Linked DNA regions of Oryctolagus cuniculus. The protein of the gene in region 2 interacts with the protein of the main gene of each other region in a pairwise test. Links are inferred from orthologs where the notes say so. Each region holds a gene or a part of one and is shown on either strand. Other genes may lie near its edges.

Region 1 (4,306 bases), on a different chromosome or scaffold from region 2:
CCCAGGGAGCGCTCAGCAGGCAGGCTTTCCTAAGAGCAGAGGAGCAAGTGAGACTTCTGTCCATGAGCCCACCTCTCTCAATTTGGGAAGGCAGAGCTGATCTGCACTCTGATTTGTGGCGATGACCTCTGCAGCCTCTGGACCCAGTCTGGCCCGCACCCCTCAGCCACCCCAAGGCTGGCCAAAGACCCCCATCCTCTGGGGATGCAGCTGTCTCCACCTGTGCATTCACTTCCTGTGGCCAGCAGCTCCCCAGTCACTAGCCGGAGCTGCTCCCCTCCCTCTTTCCATACCTCCGGCAGGCAGAAAAACAGAAGCAGAGAGCACTAAGCTGGCTGTCCAGGCCACAAAGAGCAATTTCAGTAAATCATGCAAAATTCTCCTTTTCGAAGCCAAATTGCACCTGCACGGGTCTCCCCAGAGTATGAGGGGCCCTGCGAATCAGCCCCCGGGGGGAGCCCTCATAGTGGCTCCCACGCCCGCAGGCTCCGAGCTGGAGGGCTCAGGATCTCAGAAAACCTTCACTAGGAAACAAATCCGAACCCAACTTCAAATCCCAGCAGAGCATTTTCCATTAGGAGAGCAATGTCAAGATTTGGGCTCCCCAGCCTGGCCCATTGTTCAGATGCCTTTCTCCTTTGCGGCGGGCCCCTCCCAGGGTCTCCTCATTCATCCACCTGATTAACTCGCTGGCAGCAACTCCCAGTGCAGAAAGTAGGGCAAAGGAACAGAACACACAGTCCGCAAAGCAGGAAGCCACAGCCCGGGTCCAAGCACCCACCCGGTTCCCGGTCCCCACCCCCACAGCCCAAGGGGCAGAAAGCCCTGCCTGTGGCTTCTCAGCTCCAGAGAGGCAGCTGAGTGCACTAATGCATGCCCGAGCTGTGGCTGCCTAACTACCGCTACAGCCTGTTTCCAAGAGCATCCCCCTGAAACCTCACCTCAGGGACTCGGGGGACAGGAGGGGGGAGGGGAAGAGGTAGGGAAAGGGAGGGACAAGGAGACCAAAGTGCCACTTTGATCACAGAGGGAACTCAAAAATACCCGTGTTGGAAGAGGCCATGTCCGACGTACTAGGGATTCAGGTACCTGGCCGGAGATGTAGCATCCACCTAACAATGTGTTCCTCAGGAGGGCGTGTGAACTTGCACGCCTGACCCTATCTGGCCACGCAAGTACGTGCACTTGCTATTCTTCTCCAATTGTATTTTTGGTTCGCAAGACGAACAAACGGACCTTAAATGGGCGTCCAATCCTTCTCAGGCCCCCTCGATTGCCAGCAGCTTCCCACCCACCCCTCACCCCTCCCTGGCCCGCAGCATCTAATTAAAATGGCAAGAAGAAAGCTCTGCTCCCCTCCCCTCCCCCCCAGGAGTATGCTGAGATTGGGGGTTGGGGAGGGGGAGGCGTCGAGGCTGCCCTGGAACTGTGGTCTCCAAACAACAGCAAAATGGATTCTATATCGCCGATATCTCAGTCGACAGCATGCCACGGCGTCTGAGGTAATGCACGCGGAGGTTCAACGCCAAGCCGCGGGCTGCGGGAGGGAGGTGCTCCACAAAGGACCGGCCGCAGACGCGGGGAAAACACACACACTCCAGGGAGTTCCGGTCCGACTGCGAACAGCGGCAAACCCATCCCTTTCACCTGCCCAAGTTCAGCCATAAAGCTGACATGCCACAGCCACAAAGTCGGAAAGCACAGGCAGGGCTGGGTTAAAGCCATAAATAAAGGTGAGTGGCAGGCTGGCGTGGAAGGAGGCGCGGAGCCGGAGCCCGGGCGCGCCAGGCGGGGGCGGGGGGAAGGGGCGGCCGCTGCCATCTATGAGACCCGCATAGCAATAACTGCCCCCGTGGAGCAGCAGGCTCGGCCTCGCCGGGCCGGCCAGGCTCACGGTGTCATCTCGCAGGTAGCTGGCGAACGTGAGGGGCCAGCGCCTGTATGCGCGCTGCTCTAGTTTCTGCAGCAAGGGACAGTCGGGTCCCGCGCCCTGGCACGAGACGACCGCCCGGAGCGTGCACACACGCGCGCGCGCGCTCACACACGCACACACGCGCGCACACACACACACACAGAGGCTCGCGTTCTAATGCTCTTACACTGCTCTAAGATGAAACTGCCATAAGCTCCACAAGCAGTTTCGGGGGATCGTCGGCCACAGCCAACGGGGGGGACACGTTCCGCACAACCCTTGCCATAGAGGCTCAGCCCGGAGCGCCTCGGCAACCCCGAATCCAAGCGCGAATCCGGGGTCGGTCCCCGTCGCATTCTCCCGCAGCTGCCCGTCAGCCCCCAGACCACACACCGACCCCATTCTCCCCCACCCACCCACCCCAACCCCGCCCCCCGGACCCAAACCCCTGGGAAGAAATGCGAAAAACGCGTTCTGCTCACCCTCAGAGCCGAGAGATCGATTTCATCCAGGCTGCGAGCCGGGGAGTCGCTCGCCATGTCTACTTCTTCGCCCGAGAAATGGACCAAAGCCACCCCAAAGCTTCTCCCTTGGAAATTCCACCTTGGTCTGTTTCACTCGCGTCCTCCTGCGGGTGTCGAGCCAGAGGCCCCGGGCCCAGCCTCCCCCGCCCACCCCGGCCCCTCAGCGCCCGATCTCAAGCCTCCGTGCGCCGGTCCGCCGGGTCCGGGAGCCCAACCTGCGCGGATCTCCAAGCCCGGAGCCGCGGTGCGTGTGGGCTGCGCGCCCCGATCGGCTAAGGGCGCTGGAGCTGCGTGGGTGTATTTAAATGGGACATGCTTCTTTGCTTGTGCGTGGATGGCGGCTGCATTGGCTGTTATAATGAGACACATCAACTCCTCCACTCAGCTGGGGGGTGGGGGTGGAGAACCACACAGAACTGTCTATCACCGCTTCCTGGGAGGAGTAAAGGGGGGAGGCGGAGGAGGCGTGGTCTCCGACTGGGGAGAGGCCGCGCTTCCTGACCCGGTCCCTCGACACCAGCGTGGATGGGGGAGGGGCGCGCACCCTCCCGCCCAGGCTCCTGCGGGCTAATCGGGGCGGATCGGCGGGGCAGTCCCTGACCCTTGCCGGGCTTATCGCGGGGGCTCAAGCTCTTTTTTTGTGTGTCCAACTCGGGCATTGCAGCAAAATGGCTCTTTCCTCGCCTCTTGGGTTTTCTCGGTGGGATTCAAATGCTCTAGAGCTGGGGGGGCGCAGAAAGGGGAAAAGAAAAAGACAGCGACGCCCTCCCTCCCCCATTAATTATTTGTGGGGCTCGAGTAAGGCGGGCTGGTGCAACCGGTGCATATAAGGACTTGTGTGCAGGGAAGGGGATCCGCCTCCAGGCGTGGAACGAGCCCGGGAGAAGCGCGCACGCACGGCGCGTCCGGCCTGGCGCTTCTGTAATCTGCAGCGGCCCGGGGGTCGGGTCCACCCGCAGTAACCGATATGCCGGACTGCGCCGGTCCCAAGTTGCCGGTCCCTCTGCGGGAAAGCTAGGGAATCAGAGCTCCCTTTCGGATCGCCACACCCAGGACCAGCTCGTGCCGCAGTTCCCCACGAATCGGAACGTAGAAGCTCGTTCTCCGGGCGCAATAGCTTCCAAGCCATCAGGTAACTCCAAAGCCAATGCTGCTTAAGCCAAGCTCGCCGCCCGCGGCCACGGCGTTTCTCTTCCCGGCCGCGTTTCCGCGGGGATCCACCCCAGTGGATGGCGAAAGTTTGACCCGCGGATGAGATGCCAGATGGGCTGGCGAGCGCGCGTTCACCGCACCCACTTTCTCGTTCAGAGGTGGGATGTTTACGGTGGCGAACGTGACATTCTGTCATCGGGAGTGCCAAATCGCCTCCCTCGCCGCGCAGCCTTCCTCTCCGGCCCGAGCCACGGGAAATGCATCGCAAGAAATCGTTGAAAACTGACTTGCTTTCCCCCGCCCCCTTTAAGTACAGCAGAGGCGTCGCGAGCGTTCCTAGCCCCTCTGTTAAGGCAGGAATTCGCTTCTGGCCAAGTGCGCTGAGCCATTCTAAGTCATGTAGTGTGAATATGAGCCTCAGAATAAGGCGAATGAATGAATGAATGAATGAAAGCAAACCAGTGCAGCTAGTGCATCTCGCCTGCCTGCATGCATCAGAGGACTTTGAAACAACAGTCGGTGTACGCTTCACTGTGTGTGTTCATAATACTGTGCTGATGAAGTGCCTTGTGGATCATACACCCTGAAACCTGCAAATGGACTCAATATCGCAACGGTTTGGGTGCTTTGGCTTTTTAACGTTATACGTCAAACGTTTAAACCTGCTATATGACAAACATTTTACTTCTCATTTCCAATAAAATCTTCTAGTTCCATG
Region 2 (4,229 bases):
GGGGGGAGGTCTTCCACATGCTGGTTCACTCCCCAGATGGCTGCCAACTACCAGAGCTGTGCCGATCTGAAGCCAGGAGCCAGGAGCTTCTTCCACGTCTCCCATGAAGGTGCAGGAGCTCAAGGACTTGGGCCAACTTCTTCTGCCTTCCCAGGCCATAGCAGAGAGCTGGATAGGAAGTGAAACAGCCAGGACCCAAACCTGTGCCCGTATGGGATGTCGTTAGGGCAGGCAGCGACTTTACCCACTATGCCACAGCGCTGGCCCCTATTGTTACTAAACTATAACCATACTAGTAAAGCTGCACCCATTAACAACTCATTAGTCATTCTGCTCTTCATTTATTTAGCATTCACTGATAGGTATCATTCTAGGGTACACTGTGATCTAACTTGAAAAAAGATTGTCACCACCTCTATATCTCCAGCCCCTGGCATAACATGGGAGTTCAAGATGGCTTGTGCTGAATGACTACATTTAGAACCCAATGTTTTGGGCCGGCGCCGTGGCTCACTAGGCTAATCCTCCACCTTGCGGCGCTGGCACACCGGGTTCTAGTCCCGGTCGGGGCACCGGATTCTGTCCCGGTTGACCCTCTTCCAGGCCAGTTCTCTGCTGTGGCCAGGGAGTGCAGTGGAGGATGGCCCAAGTGCTTGGGCCCTGCACCCCATGGGAGACCAGGATAAGTACCTGGCTCCTGCCTTCGGATAGGCGCAGTGCGCCGGCCGCAGCACGCCGGCTGTGGCGGCCATTGGAGGGTGAACCAACGGCAAAGGAAGACCTTTCTCTCCGTCTCTCTCTCACTGTCCACTCTGCCTGTCAAAAAAAAAAAAAAAAAAAAAAAAGAACCCAATGTTTTTCAGTCCTAACTAAAACACATGCTTATATAGAGAGGAAATAATTTATAGACTATTTTTGATGATGCCATTTTCATTCTATCTTCCATGCTGTTAGTCTTCATAACGTTAATGGCTGCATACTATTCCATTGCATTTATACATCTTAGAAAGCCAGTCTCTTCATATCATCTCTCAAGACTTATTTCGGTATTTTTATTGCAGAGCTAATGTGGCCCCAAACATATCCTGCCTTATACGTTTCACAGATTTCTCACTGGGAAAAGCAGGCTTAACTCCAGAAGAAGATAAACTTCTGAAATACAAGTTAACCTATTAACATTACTCCATTGGTAGAATTTTGAAACACACACACACACACACACCGCTAGAGCATACAGAACTCCATTTTGCCAAATCAACTACTTACAACTATTTAATTAAATCCTCTATCATGATATATGTCTGTCCAAAGTAAATCACCTTTCATGGGACTGCTTCACATGTTTTTAGGAAAGACATTTTTGGGGGCAAGCAGTAAAAATTCCCAAGCCAGACAGATTAGAACTTCAGTGCTTCTGGAAGCCAGCACACAGCTAACCTCCCTCAAGGGACACACGGGGTTTGTGTAATGTAAGCAATTTGGGGGCTCTGGAAGGTGCCCTGTTCCCCTTCCCTCCATGTACAGATTCTAAAAGTCCACCTGGCTACCTGTGAGCCTGGACCTCGGGCGGAGGGAGCTTCCTGCAAAGCCCACTGCATTGCTACGTTACACACGCAGGCAGACACACCTGGGATGAGCACTCTCCTGCTGCACCTCTGCAGGTGGCCCTTCCCGGAGGACTGCAGCCAGGGCCCCGGTTTCCTTTGTTTATGTGGGGGGAGGGGAGGGAAGGCGGAGAGGAGAAACAGTTAACTACACTACCATTTAACCGCAGTCCAAGTATGATTGCTGACAATTACCTCTACAGAGATTAGCAGATAACCTACAAAAGGTCATTTCGTTGTAAAGAAGAAGGGGTCCTTTGGGGCCAACCAGAAGACACGTCTAACACGCAATGTTTAAAAGAAATAGGTTATTCAAATGTATCTCGTGTCAAGTTTTTCATGAAGCCCAAGGAATGACACCTGTGTATGATTTTGTATTGTTTGCTTTACAGGCTTTTTCGTGCGCGCGCGCACACACACGAAACAGCGGCTCACCGGAGCTACACAGAGGACAACGACATTACTCAAAGCAGGAATTCTGTAGGTGTCACTTGGAACACAGAACCTCTGGGTTCCCAGAAGTTCCATGCAGACAGCCTCGGTGCCGCGACAAAGACCTCCGCAGACAGACATACAAAGGCACGCTTCTGTCAACGCCCCTGCAGCCAAGTTCACAGCTGGCACTTGTGGCACACTCGAGCCACTGCCGAGGCAGCTGTCACAGGCCAATCACACACGCCCCGGAGTGCCAGCGTGCCAGAGAGGCGGGCGAGCCGCCGGCCGCGCGCCAATCCCCCCCAAATAAAGGAGAAGCCCTGAATCTCCTCGCTGGGCAGCACAACGCCTGCACCGCCCAGAACACCCCCTGAAGAAAGTGAAAGGCTGAGATTCGGGAGCAATTAAACACCAGCTGACGGCAGCCCTGGGCATTTACGAGAAAGCAGCCACGCCGTTCACTCAGCACCCAAGTATCGGCGGCGAGGAGGGGGCGCCGGGCTTCGCCCCTACTGGAACAAGGGGCGAGGGGGAAACGCGGGGCCGCGGCACCTCGCTCCCCGCCAGCCAGCGCGCGCCGGCCGCCGCCAGCTCCGCTCCCAGGCCCCCTCCCACCCTGCCCAGCCGCCGCCTCCCTCCCCGGGCCCGGCTGCCTCCGCCTCTCCTACCTTCGCTTTGCCGGCCTCCAGCTTCTTCTGTCGCTCCTCGTCCTCCATGGCCTCTGCGGGAAGGCGGCGGAGCAGCGGGCGGGGTTTGGGGGAGACAGGAAAGGTCGGTTCAGGCGGAGGTGGGGCGGCGAGCTCCGCGGCCCAGCGAGCAGGCCCGGCGCGGCGCGGCCCCGCCCGGAGCGCGAGCAGCCTCCGCGCTCACTGGCGGCTCGTCCCGGGCCGCACGGCCAGCGCCGTCACCGCCGCCGCCATCTTCGTCTCCACGTAAACACTCGGCGGGCGTCGTGGGGGGGGGGGGACGTCGGTCCGCGCAGCCGCCGCGCCGGGCAGGTGCGCCGCGGCCCCGCCCCCGCCCGCGCCGTCCTCCCGCGGCCCGGCGGCTCCCGGCGGCTCCCGGCGGCGGCGGGGCTGAGGCGGGAGCGGTGTCCAGGGCCGCCCGCCCGCCGGCCAGCAGTGCCGCCACGGTGCGCGGGACTCGGCGCTCTTCAAACAGAGCGGTTTTTCCAATCACGAAGCCATCAGATATGAAGGACCTCTGAGCAGCCACAGTGGCCAGCAGGCGGGAGAGACTTGCCGGACCCCGGCTTTTCAACCTAGGTGGACTCCTCCACGCCAGAAACCGGGAGAGCGGCGACTGCGGCGGTGACTTCCCTGGCCTCGCAGTCCCGCCCCCTGGCCCACGCCGGTTCCCGCCCAGGCTGCCGGGTCCTCCGAGGCCCACCTCGCACGCCTCCGCCTGCACGCACACGGCTCCTGTCTTTGTTCGCCCCCCGCCCCCGGGAGGGCTCCTGCTGAACCTGCACTCCCATCCAGCCTCGCTGGGGCCTCTGGCAGCGGTGCTCTCGGGGACCCAGCCCGGGCGCACCACCTGACACGACACACGTTACCTGTCCTGGGATTGGGGAAGGGTGGTCATCTTTGTGACTGCCCCTGGCCTACCGAATCGCCCCGAATTAATGTCGGTTGCCGTTTTTCTCGAATTTCCTTGATGTCCTCTGCACGCGTTTTGTTGGCTTGCGTGCTTCTTAGGTCACCTGATATTCCTGGCTCCTTGGAGGCACGGACCCCCTCATGGATCCTGCTCACCGTGGCATTAATAAACGACTAGCACAGGGCTTTGCTCCGAATAAATACTGCTGGGTTGACTGGTCACGTCTATAAATTGATCATTACTCTTCCGTTTCTTCCACTCACCTGGCCCCGCAATCCTCCTCCTGCCCCCTTCACCACCCTCCCATTCGCCAACCCTCCGTTCCTAGAGTGAATACAAATGATCCTGTCTTAGGTTGAATACTGATGTTGAGTTCCCCTCTCCTTTGTTGAGTGAGGTTGGGCTGAGAAACTGTCAGGAGTGGAAACAAGCTGCGAGTTCAACGTATTGGTGATATTCAGTGAAACTTGGGGTTAAAAAAGGAAAAGGTGGGAGGGGGGTGCTCTGGCATACCAGGTTAAGCCCCCACCTGGCGCTGGTTCCAGTCCTAGCTGCTGCTCTTCTGTTCCAGTTCCCTGCTAAGGGCCTAGC
Region 3 (4,091 bases), on a different chromosome or scaffold from region 2:
GCTGCACAGAGCACAGCATGCAAACCCCAGACAGAAGCCAACAGCGACTACAGAGCCAGAACCCCAGGAATGACACCTTGAGGGTAGTCTCATTTGTGTAATGCATCTTTCACTTCCCTGCTTACCATCACATTCCATTCTCGTGATCAGCTCTGAGGTGGACAAGGCAGGGCAAATCATCCTCAATTTGCAGATGAGGAAATCAAGGCCAAAGGGAGTTAAGCAACTGGCCAAAGGTGTGCCAGTTCAATTTGCAGCCAAGTGCAGGCTGGAAGTAGAGTCTGTCTCCATTAACTCAGAGTGACCTGGCAGAGAGGGTGCCATCTACTGGAAATTGCTACTGACCCTTGGTCCACAAAGTGGACAATCAGCTCTTTGGCCATGAGGACTGACCGTGGCCCCAAGGGACCCTGCCAAGGCCCGGTCCCAAAGCAGATGGCAATGGGCAGAGGAAAAGGGCTCTGTGCCTCCGAAGGGCCTGACAGCAAGGTTTTGGCTGTAGCCACACTATTCCTGTCTGAGCCATCCTGTGCTGAGCATAGGGAAGTGGAGGCAGGAACAGCCAAAGTGCCTTCTACCTTCATCTGCAGCAAGCAGAGAGGCCTGCAAAGCGACAGCAGAGAGTGCACACTTGGGTATCCCTCCATTGACTATGGCTTTCGTCCTCAGCTCTTGCTTAGACATCCCTGAAACCAGAGGCGGCTGATAAATGCCTGAGTATTCTCCCACTTCAGAGCAATCTCTGAACTGAACGTGAGCATGTGTTGGAGCAGGCAACACTTAATTATCACTTAGTATTTAATTAGCACTTAATTATTAACACTTAATCCATCTGTAAAATGGGGACACTAATACCTGCCTCATAGGAACTCTGGGAGGATTAATTAATGTTTGCAGCACACTTTGAAGATGCAAAGCATTGAAGAAGTGCTTGACAGTGACATTAATAACCACAGCAGATTTACTTCCTTTCCCTAATGAGGTCTCTTCCTCCTGTCTGCTTCTCCTGCTCCTCGTGAATATCCATGCCCAACAATCTCTGCCCAACGTTGCCCTGGTAGAGAAACACTTAGCTCTGTGTCTCCCAGGCACAGGATTCCCCATCCAGAAAGCTGGCTATTTACAGCCATCTTCCCGCACTTTAATTTTCTATTATGTCCTCTGAATATGTCAATGCCTTCCCAGTAAATATTTTGATATGCGCTCTTGCAGCAGCCTCTGTGTAGGCTGAATGGGACAGCTGCTCCCTGTATTAGGGAATTCCAGATGTGGCTTGAAACCACCAGGCTCATCTGTGCAAATGCCTGGCCTTTGCATGGGAAGGGGAAGCTTCTTCAAGTTGCCTCTGGGGAAGGACATGAATCACCTAACCCTTGGCCTTTGCTGTGATGGAGGGGCTTTCAAGGACCCCAGAGCCACATCTGGGTTGCCTGCACCTTCAGGATGAGAAATGTACCCCTTGGAGGGCCAATGAAGGGGAGCCTGGAAGGCAGCTCTGGCCTGGCCTTTCAACCAGGTGATTTCAGCACCTTGGTCAGCTCTTTCTCCAGCTTGCCAATGAAGGGCGCACGGTGGAGAGAATGTCTGCAGAATGCAGGGTTTAACCAGACCGAACACGGCCCGAACAGTCCCCTAGAAGTTCAGACTGCACTGGACCTTGCCACAGCCCTTGCTGCCCACCAAGCGAGGGGATACTCACTCGTCTATGAAGCTGAGCCTGTGGTCCCTTGGCATTCCTGCCCCGGTGGCAGAGAGCTGCTCTGTGGAGGTTCTGGACTGCAAGTCCTCGGGCAGGCCCTGAACTCTCTTCCAGATTTCATGGCAAGCCTTATCCAGGCTGTCTTGGGGCGTGTCCTGGTGGATCCAGATGTATCGGGGGAATGGGCCCAGGGCCGAGGGGCGCTTGGCCACCAGGGCCAAGGACGAAGGCAGCCCGTTTCCACTGGCCATCTTCCTCCTCTCTCTCCAGAAGCCCCTTTGTCCACCCAGGGCTCGGAGACAGGGGGACCGTGCACCCCCACCTCTCATTCACCAGTGAGGAGGTGGAGGGCGGGGCCTGGCAGAAGCTGCTCAGTCCGGTCCAGCTGCTGCTCCAGGGAAGGGCCTGGGCTTAGAGGCCTCTGGCTTGCGTGTGGGCAGTGGGTTGGGGGCTGCTCTCTTTGGGGGAGGAGGAGCTTGTTTCGATTCGTTCTTATTTGCTCTCGCCTGACCTTTGTCCCCCTCCCCGTATCCCTTAGAAGAAAATATTTAAAAGTCAACAAAAACCAGTAGCTTAGTAACCGTGGAATCCCCCGGAGCTCAGCAACCAGGCGCCTGGGCGGGCAGAATGACATCTGGGAACCGCTGGAGGGGGAGGCTGGCTCTCCCCAGAGACCTGGCAGTCACCCCTTGGTACACCCCGCGACGCCCTGGCCCGGCTCAGCCCATTCTCGCCCTCCTAGCTGCGTGGACGACAGAGTAGGGGCCTGGCACCTCGCAAGGCGCTGCGGGCAGCGGCTAGCCCGCGGGGCTCTGGGCTAGGGTGTTCCTGGGAGCCCCGCTCAGGCCAGGCTAACGTCCAGCCTAGGCTCCGCTCCGCCCGCTCCGGTTCCCCTGGCCAGCAGGGTCAGGGGCCGCACCCGCCGGCCTAGCGTCGCAGCAAGACACCTGCCGCGCCCGTGCTGGGTTGTGGGGCCACCCCCAGGGGAGAGTCTCAACCGCGAGAAGGGCGTGGTCTGGGCAGGGCCGGGCAGGCTGGCCGCCTGGGCCAATGTGCGAGTCGGTGGCTCCCACACCCTTGCCGTCGAGCGCTGGAGTTCTTTCCGGGAGTTCAAACGCAACGGCTCGGTGCGCGGGGCTCCTGGCTTGGCGCCCAAGGCCCTCCGCGATGCAGGTGCGGGTGCGGGTGCGGGTGCGGATGCGGGTGGGGGTGGGGTGGGCGTGCACCGCAAACCCCGGGCGCTGTCGCCGCTCAGGAGGCGGAGCCGGCAGCCCGGCTGCCGGGCTCTGCAGGGCTCGCATGCCTTGGCGGGCCTGCCCCATCTCTGCCTGGCTTTGGCCAGCACAGCACGGATCCTCCAGACCCTGCGCTGGGCTCAGTAGGTCCCAGGCCTGGTTGGGGGTGGGGTGGGAGATACAGAAAGGGTCAAGGTAGGCTATTGGCCAATTCATAGAATCCTGCCCTCCCTGGAGCGGCTTTCTTAAACCTGGGACTGACGCGGCACCTTTGGCCCCAGGAATTCAAGGTGGTGACTGGAGGGCTCCCCTGGAAAGGAAGCACAAGAGGCAGAGGAAGAAGACGGAAGGGAAGCCAGGAAAACAGCAGCCTAGAGAAGGGGGACTCGGGTAATGGTTGCCACTGCTGTGTGACCTCAACCACCCCTTCCTTCTCTCCGCCTCTTCCCTCCCTCCCCCTAGGAGGAATGGAGCCCTTCCTGTGTGCCAAGGGAGCTGCTGGACACAGAGGGAGCGTCGGGATGATCCTCCTGGACACGGTCCCTGCTCCTGTGGAGGCCTCAGTTCTGCTGGGGGGAGCTGATCGCAAACCCCCCCCCCCCAGAGCACGTGAAGGAGCGATAATTACAGAGAGGGCGAGGGCTCAGGTGGAAAATAACAACAGGAGGAGGTGGTCCAGGAAGGTCTGTTCGTGGAGGTGACATTTGAGAAGTGGAAGGATGAGAGGGAATCTTTTCTGTAAAACATTCCTGGCACACAGTAAGCACTCAATAAAGGTGTTGGATGAATTAATGATGTACTGTATGTAAAGTGCCTGGCATACAGTAGGTGCCAAATATACAACCTTGCTCTTTACAGAAGTTCCTGGAAATGTTGACTCTAAATTTTGAAATCTGAGCTTCATTCCCTTTTGATTTTCATTATAAAATTGAAGATGTGTTCCTTTGGGGAAAATTCCAAGGACCCAGACTGAATAAAATTATAGTTAAGAATGTAGAAAACCTTTTAAGATAGTGTATTTAAAGGGAAAGTGATCATTTGTGATGAAATATTAATACTTCCGAAAATGTCACTCAGTGTTTGTGCTGCTTGGCATTTGGTTGGCTAACACCTCTGTGTAGAGCAGACTGCCGGGGACCTGGTACTGCCCAGGCCAT
Region 4 (3,577 bases), about 19 Mb from region 2:
GTTACCAGCGTGCCAGGGCGAGCAGATGGCGTGCAGGGCTTAAGCCAGGGATGGCAGTGCCCGGATGTAAGATATGGGACATGTGCTGGGGATCAGGGGCCAGGCTGGGATGGACCACAGAAACGAGGTGCAAGGCCCAGGCCCCGGTGAGCTCCGACAGGTTAGGACGGGGGAGTGCAGGGTCCCACTCGGGGTGGGGGCGGGGGCTGACGTGAGATCAGAGGTGGAAGGGGGTGTGGGGAGTCAGAGGAGAGGCTGGCCTGGGGGACTAGGGGAAGCGCGGTTGGGGGCCACCTGGGAACAGGGTAAGTCAGGCGGGTGGGGGCGCGGGGGCTGCGGGGCGCACCTGTGAGCGGCGCGGGCTTGCACAGGGTACTGTAGTGCGTGGCGGGGAAAGGTCCGGCCAGGAGCGCGCTGAAGGCGGCGGACGAGGCCGCGGCAAGCTCCTCCCGCACCAGCCGCCCCTTGGGGTGGTCAGCGGGCAGCTCCGCCAGCCTCCGCTCCAGGGCCTCCCGCAGCAGCCCCAGCTTCTGATTGGACTCCGTCAGCTTTTCCTGGGCCTGAGTGGTGGGAAGGAAGAGGCTGGGGTGGAGCCAGGCTTGCCCCGCCCCCTTCTGGACTTCCTTCTCCCTATTGGCCTAAACAGCCACTTGGGCCCCGCCCCTTGGTTACGCCCCCCTCCTCTAGCCTCCTCGCTTCCAGTGCGGAGGTCGACTCGGGACTAAGCCCCACCCACCCCCACTGAAGCTCCACCCCTTGATGAGGGACTGACCTATTGGGCTCCCTTCCTGCCTGAGGCCCCGCCCCTTACTGAAGCCCGCCCCTCTGGTGCCTATCAATGCAGAGGCTCCGCCTCTGGGCCCCGCCCGTTTCCCCAGCCTCACGGTTCCCATTGGCCCTCTTCAGCCGAGGCCCTGCCCCACGCCGCAGCCCCGCCCCTCACCTCGCTGACGGCCTTGCGGTCGGGCGTCTTGGCTGCACTGAGCAGGCGCAGCACGTTCTTGGCGCCCTCGGCCACCGCGTGCTCCACGCGGAAGTGGTGGCGCAGTTCCTCGATGCGCAGCTCCGCGGCCCCCAGGTCCGGACCCCCTGCAGAAGGGAAATGGGGCGGGGAGGGGCCCACACTGAGCTATCACCACCAGGCAGTCACCCCACAGCCAGGGACACCCCTGACCGCACTGTCAGACCCTGCCCCAGTCCACACGCGGGAGCCCGGTTCCCGGTGGGGCGGTCTACAAAGCCCTCATGGCTTCACACAGGAGCCATGCTGATGACAGCTTGCAGGCCTGGGGAGCCTTTTTCCGCCCCCTGGTGGCCGTATGAGGTATTTACAACATCGTTTGCTGGACCATGCAAAATGAGCAGCTTGAAAATCAGCTGTGGCACAGCGGGTAAAGCCGCTGCCTGCAAGGCCAGCATCCCATATGGGCGCCAGTTCGAGTCCCGGCTGCTCCACTTCCCATCCAGCTCCCTGCTATGGCCTGGGAAAGCAGTGCAAGACAGCCCAAGTGCTTGGGCCCCTACACCCGCATGGGAGACCCGGATGGAGCTCCCGGTACAGGTTCTCGAGTGGGCTGCCGGCGAGGCGCTCACCGTGGGCCTCATCCGCGGCCGCCTGGCTCCCCAGCTGGTCCGCCTGTAGGGCTCGGTGGAGCTGCATACGAATGATGTCAATCTTGGTCTTGCTGTCTTGTAGCACCTGCTGGGCCGTCAGCAGCAGCTTCCGGTCCTGGAGACAGGAGAGGAGGTAGCTGGGTAGCTGGGGTGGGGGGCAGGGCTGGGTGCTCTGAGCAGGGTGTACCTAGTGTAAGATGCAGCGCCCTAGAGGGCCATGAGGGCAAGACAGCACCCACGTCCGCGCGCGTTCCCAGCAGGGGCGGCACAGGGCACGCGCAGTGAAGCCAAGGGGTTTCGAGGGATCTGGGTCGTGGCTCTGCCACTTTAAGAGCTGTGCGACTGCGGACGGGACCTTCCACCCTCGCTGGGAGCCAGGACCTATTTGCTCAGAACCAGGGCTGGCACCGGGAGGGTCTGCGTTTGCAGTAACTCCGGGACAGTGCACGTGGGGGGGCCCCCACAGCCGCGCCCCGAAACGCCCCCACGTGGTGTCCACGGGAAATGTGCAGAATGGGCACTGGTGGTGGCCTGGGGCTGGGAAAGGAGCGCCTGGAGTGATGGATGAGGGGGCAGGGCTTCTCCCAAGCGGGGGTGGGGGCAGAATGTTCTAGAACTATTCACAGGTAATGGTTCTACAATACTGCGAATGGATCTAACACCACTGGGTTATATAATAGTAAAATGTATCTAGTTATTTGAAAGGCAGAGAGACAGAGAGACAGACAGAGAGAGAGAGAGAGAGAGAGAGAGAGAATCTTCCATGCACTGGTTCACCCCCTAAATGGCCACAATGGCCACAGCTACTCCAGGCCAAAGCCAGGAGCCTGAAGCTCCATCCAGGCCTCCCACGAGGGTCCTGGGACCCAAATCCTCAGGTCGTCACCTGCTTGCTCTCAGCAAGGAGCTGGATCAGAAGCAGAGCAGCCGGGACTTGAACCAGCACTGGACTCCGGCACTGCAGGCAGGGGTTTAACCCGCTGTCCCACTGTACAGGTCCCTGAATTATATATTTTAAAATGGCTAAAAATGGTAGATTTTATGTTATGGGTATTTTACTACCATAAGAAAAAAATTCAAGGCCAGCGCTGTGGCATAGGGGTTTAAAGCCCCGGTCTACAGCATCAGCATCCCATATGGATGCCGGTTCAAGTCCTGGCTGCTCCACTTCCAATCCAGCTCTCTGCTGTGGCTTGGGAAAGCAGTGAGAGATGGCCCAAGTCCTTGGGCCCCTGCACTTGCGTGGGAGACCGGGAGGAAGCTCCTGGCTCCTGGCTTCGCTCCGGCCATTGCAGCCATTTGGAGAGTGAACCAGCGGTTGGAAGACCTCTCTCACCTCTCTCTCTCTCTCTCTCTGCCTCTACTTCTGTCTGTGTGTGACTCTTTCAAATAAATAAAGAAATCTTAAAAAAATAAAAAAGAAAGAACTAGAAGAGAGAAGTTCAGAGGTCCCCAAGAAATAGACATGACAAACATTTATGGCGGTGCGGGTGGGTGTCAGGCCGGGCAAGGGTCTCCAGGTGTCCTTGGGGGGCAGGAGGCAGTGCCCGCCGTGGGGGCTGCGTGTTGCCGCGCACAGCCCGTGGCGTACCCCAGTGACAGGGGAGGGGGCCACGGCCTCTGCTGCTCCGGGGAGCTGCCTGTGCCCAGCCCTGCCGCCACACATCAGCAGGATCCCCTGCAAGCCCGACCCGCAGGCACCACTAGAGGGCGCCCCGTCCCCACCGCCCCAGCTTGGGACTTGCTCCTGGGGGTGTGGCATGCAGGCGGGTGCATCCAGGCGGGTGCACACGCGGGGGCTCTCACGCAGGCGTGCGTGTGCGTGCAGCTGGCGAGTGCGCGCCGGCCCACCTTGCTACTGCCGTTGCTGTACGTTTGGATCATGTTTTCCGCCCCTTGCTTCACTTTCAGCTCGATGGCCAGCTGCTTCTCCAGCACCGCCACGCGGCTCAGGTTGGTGGTG

The links.
Region 1: the proteins of AKAP9 (region 2) and TNIK interact in a two-hybrid assay, tested with the Homo sapiens proteins (2 studies listed by BioGRID and IntAct). The link is inferred for Oryctolagus cuniculus from reciprocal best matches to the Homo sapiens genes AKAP9 and TNIK.
Region 3: the proteins of AKAP9 (region 2) and C7H1orf94 interact in binary tests that used the Homo sapiens proteins (3 or more experiments, as listed by UniProt). The two-hybrid records come from large-scale screens. The link is inferred for Oryctolagus cuniculus from reciprocal best matches to the Homo sapiens genes AKAP9 and C1orf94.
Region 4: the proteins of AKAP9 (region 2) and PKN1 interact in a two-hybrid assay, tested with the Homo sapiens proteins (2 studies listed by BioGRID). The link is inferred for Oryctolagus cuniculus from reciprocal best matches to the Homo sapiens genes AKAP9 and PKN1.

The regions. Positions count from the first base shown.
Region 1 is NC_091435.1:108,838,418-108,842,723, reverse strand, and holds the start of TNIK (TRAF2 and NCK-interacting protein kinase), read right to left. Parts: upstream 2,855-4,306; 5' UTR 2,452-2,854; coding exon 2,395-2,451; intron 1-2,394. UniProt on the Homo sapiens protein: Serine/threonine kinase that acts as an essential activator of the Wnt signaling pathway. Recruited to promoters of Wnt target genes and required to activate their expression. May act by phosphorylating TCF4/TCF7L2.
Region 2 is NC_091447.1:43,775,517-43,779,745, forward strand, and holds the start of AKAP9 (A-kinase anchor protein 9), read right to left. Parts: upstream 2,842-4,229; 5' UTR 2,756-2,841; coding exon 2,708-2,755; intron 1-2,707. UniProt on the Homo sapiens protein: Scaffolding protein that assembles several protein kinases and phosphatases on the centrosome and Golgi apparatus. Required to maintain the integrity of the Golgi apparatus. Required for microtubule nucleation at the cis-side of the Golgi apparatus.
Region 3 is NC_091438.1:138,451,123-138,455,213, forward strand, and holds the start of C7H1orf94 (uncharacterized protein C1orf94 homolog), read right to left. Parts: upstream 2,832-4,091; 5' UTR 2,029-2,831; coding exon 1,700-2,028; intron 1-1,699.
Region 4 is NC_091447.1:63,099,873-63,103,449, reverse strand, and holds part of PKN1 (serine/threonine-protein kinase N1), read right to left. Parts: coding exon 3,466-3,577; intron 1,730-3,465; coding exon 1,594-1,729; intron 1,090-1,593; coding exon 944-1,089; intron 561-943; coding exon 347-560; intron 1-346. UniProt on the Homo sapiens protein: PKC-related serine/threonine-protein kinase involved in various processes such as regulation of the intermediate filaments of the actin cytoskeleton, cell migration, tumor cell invasion and transcription regulation.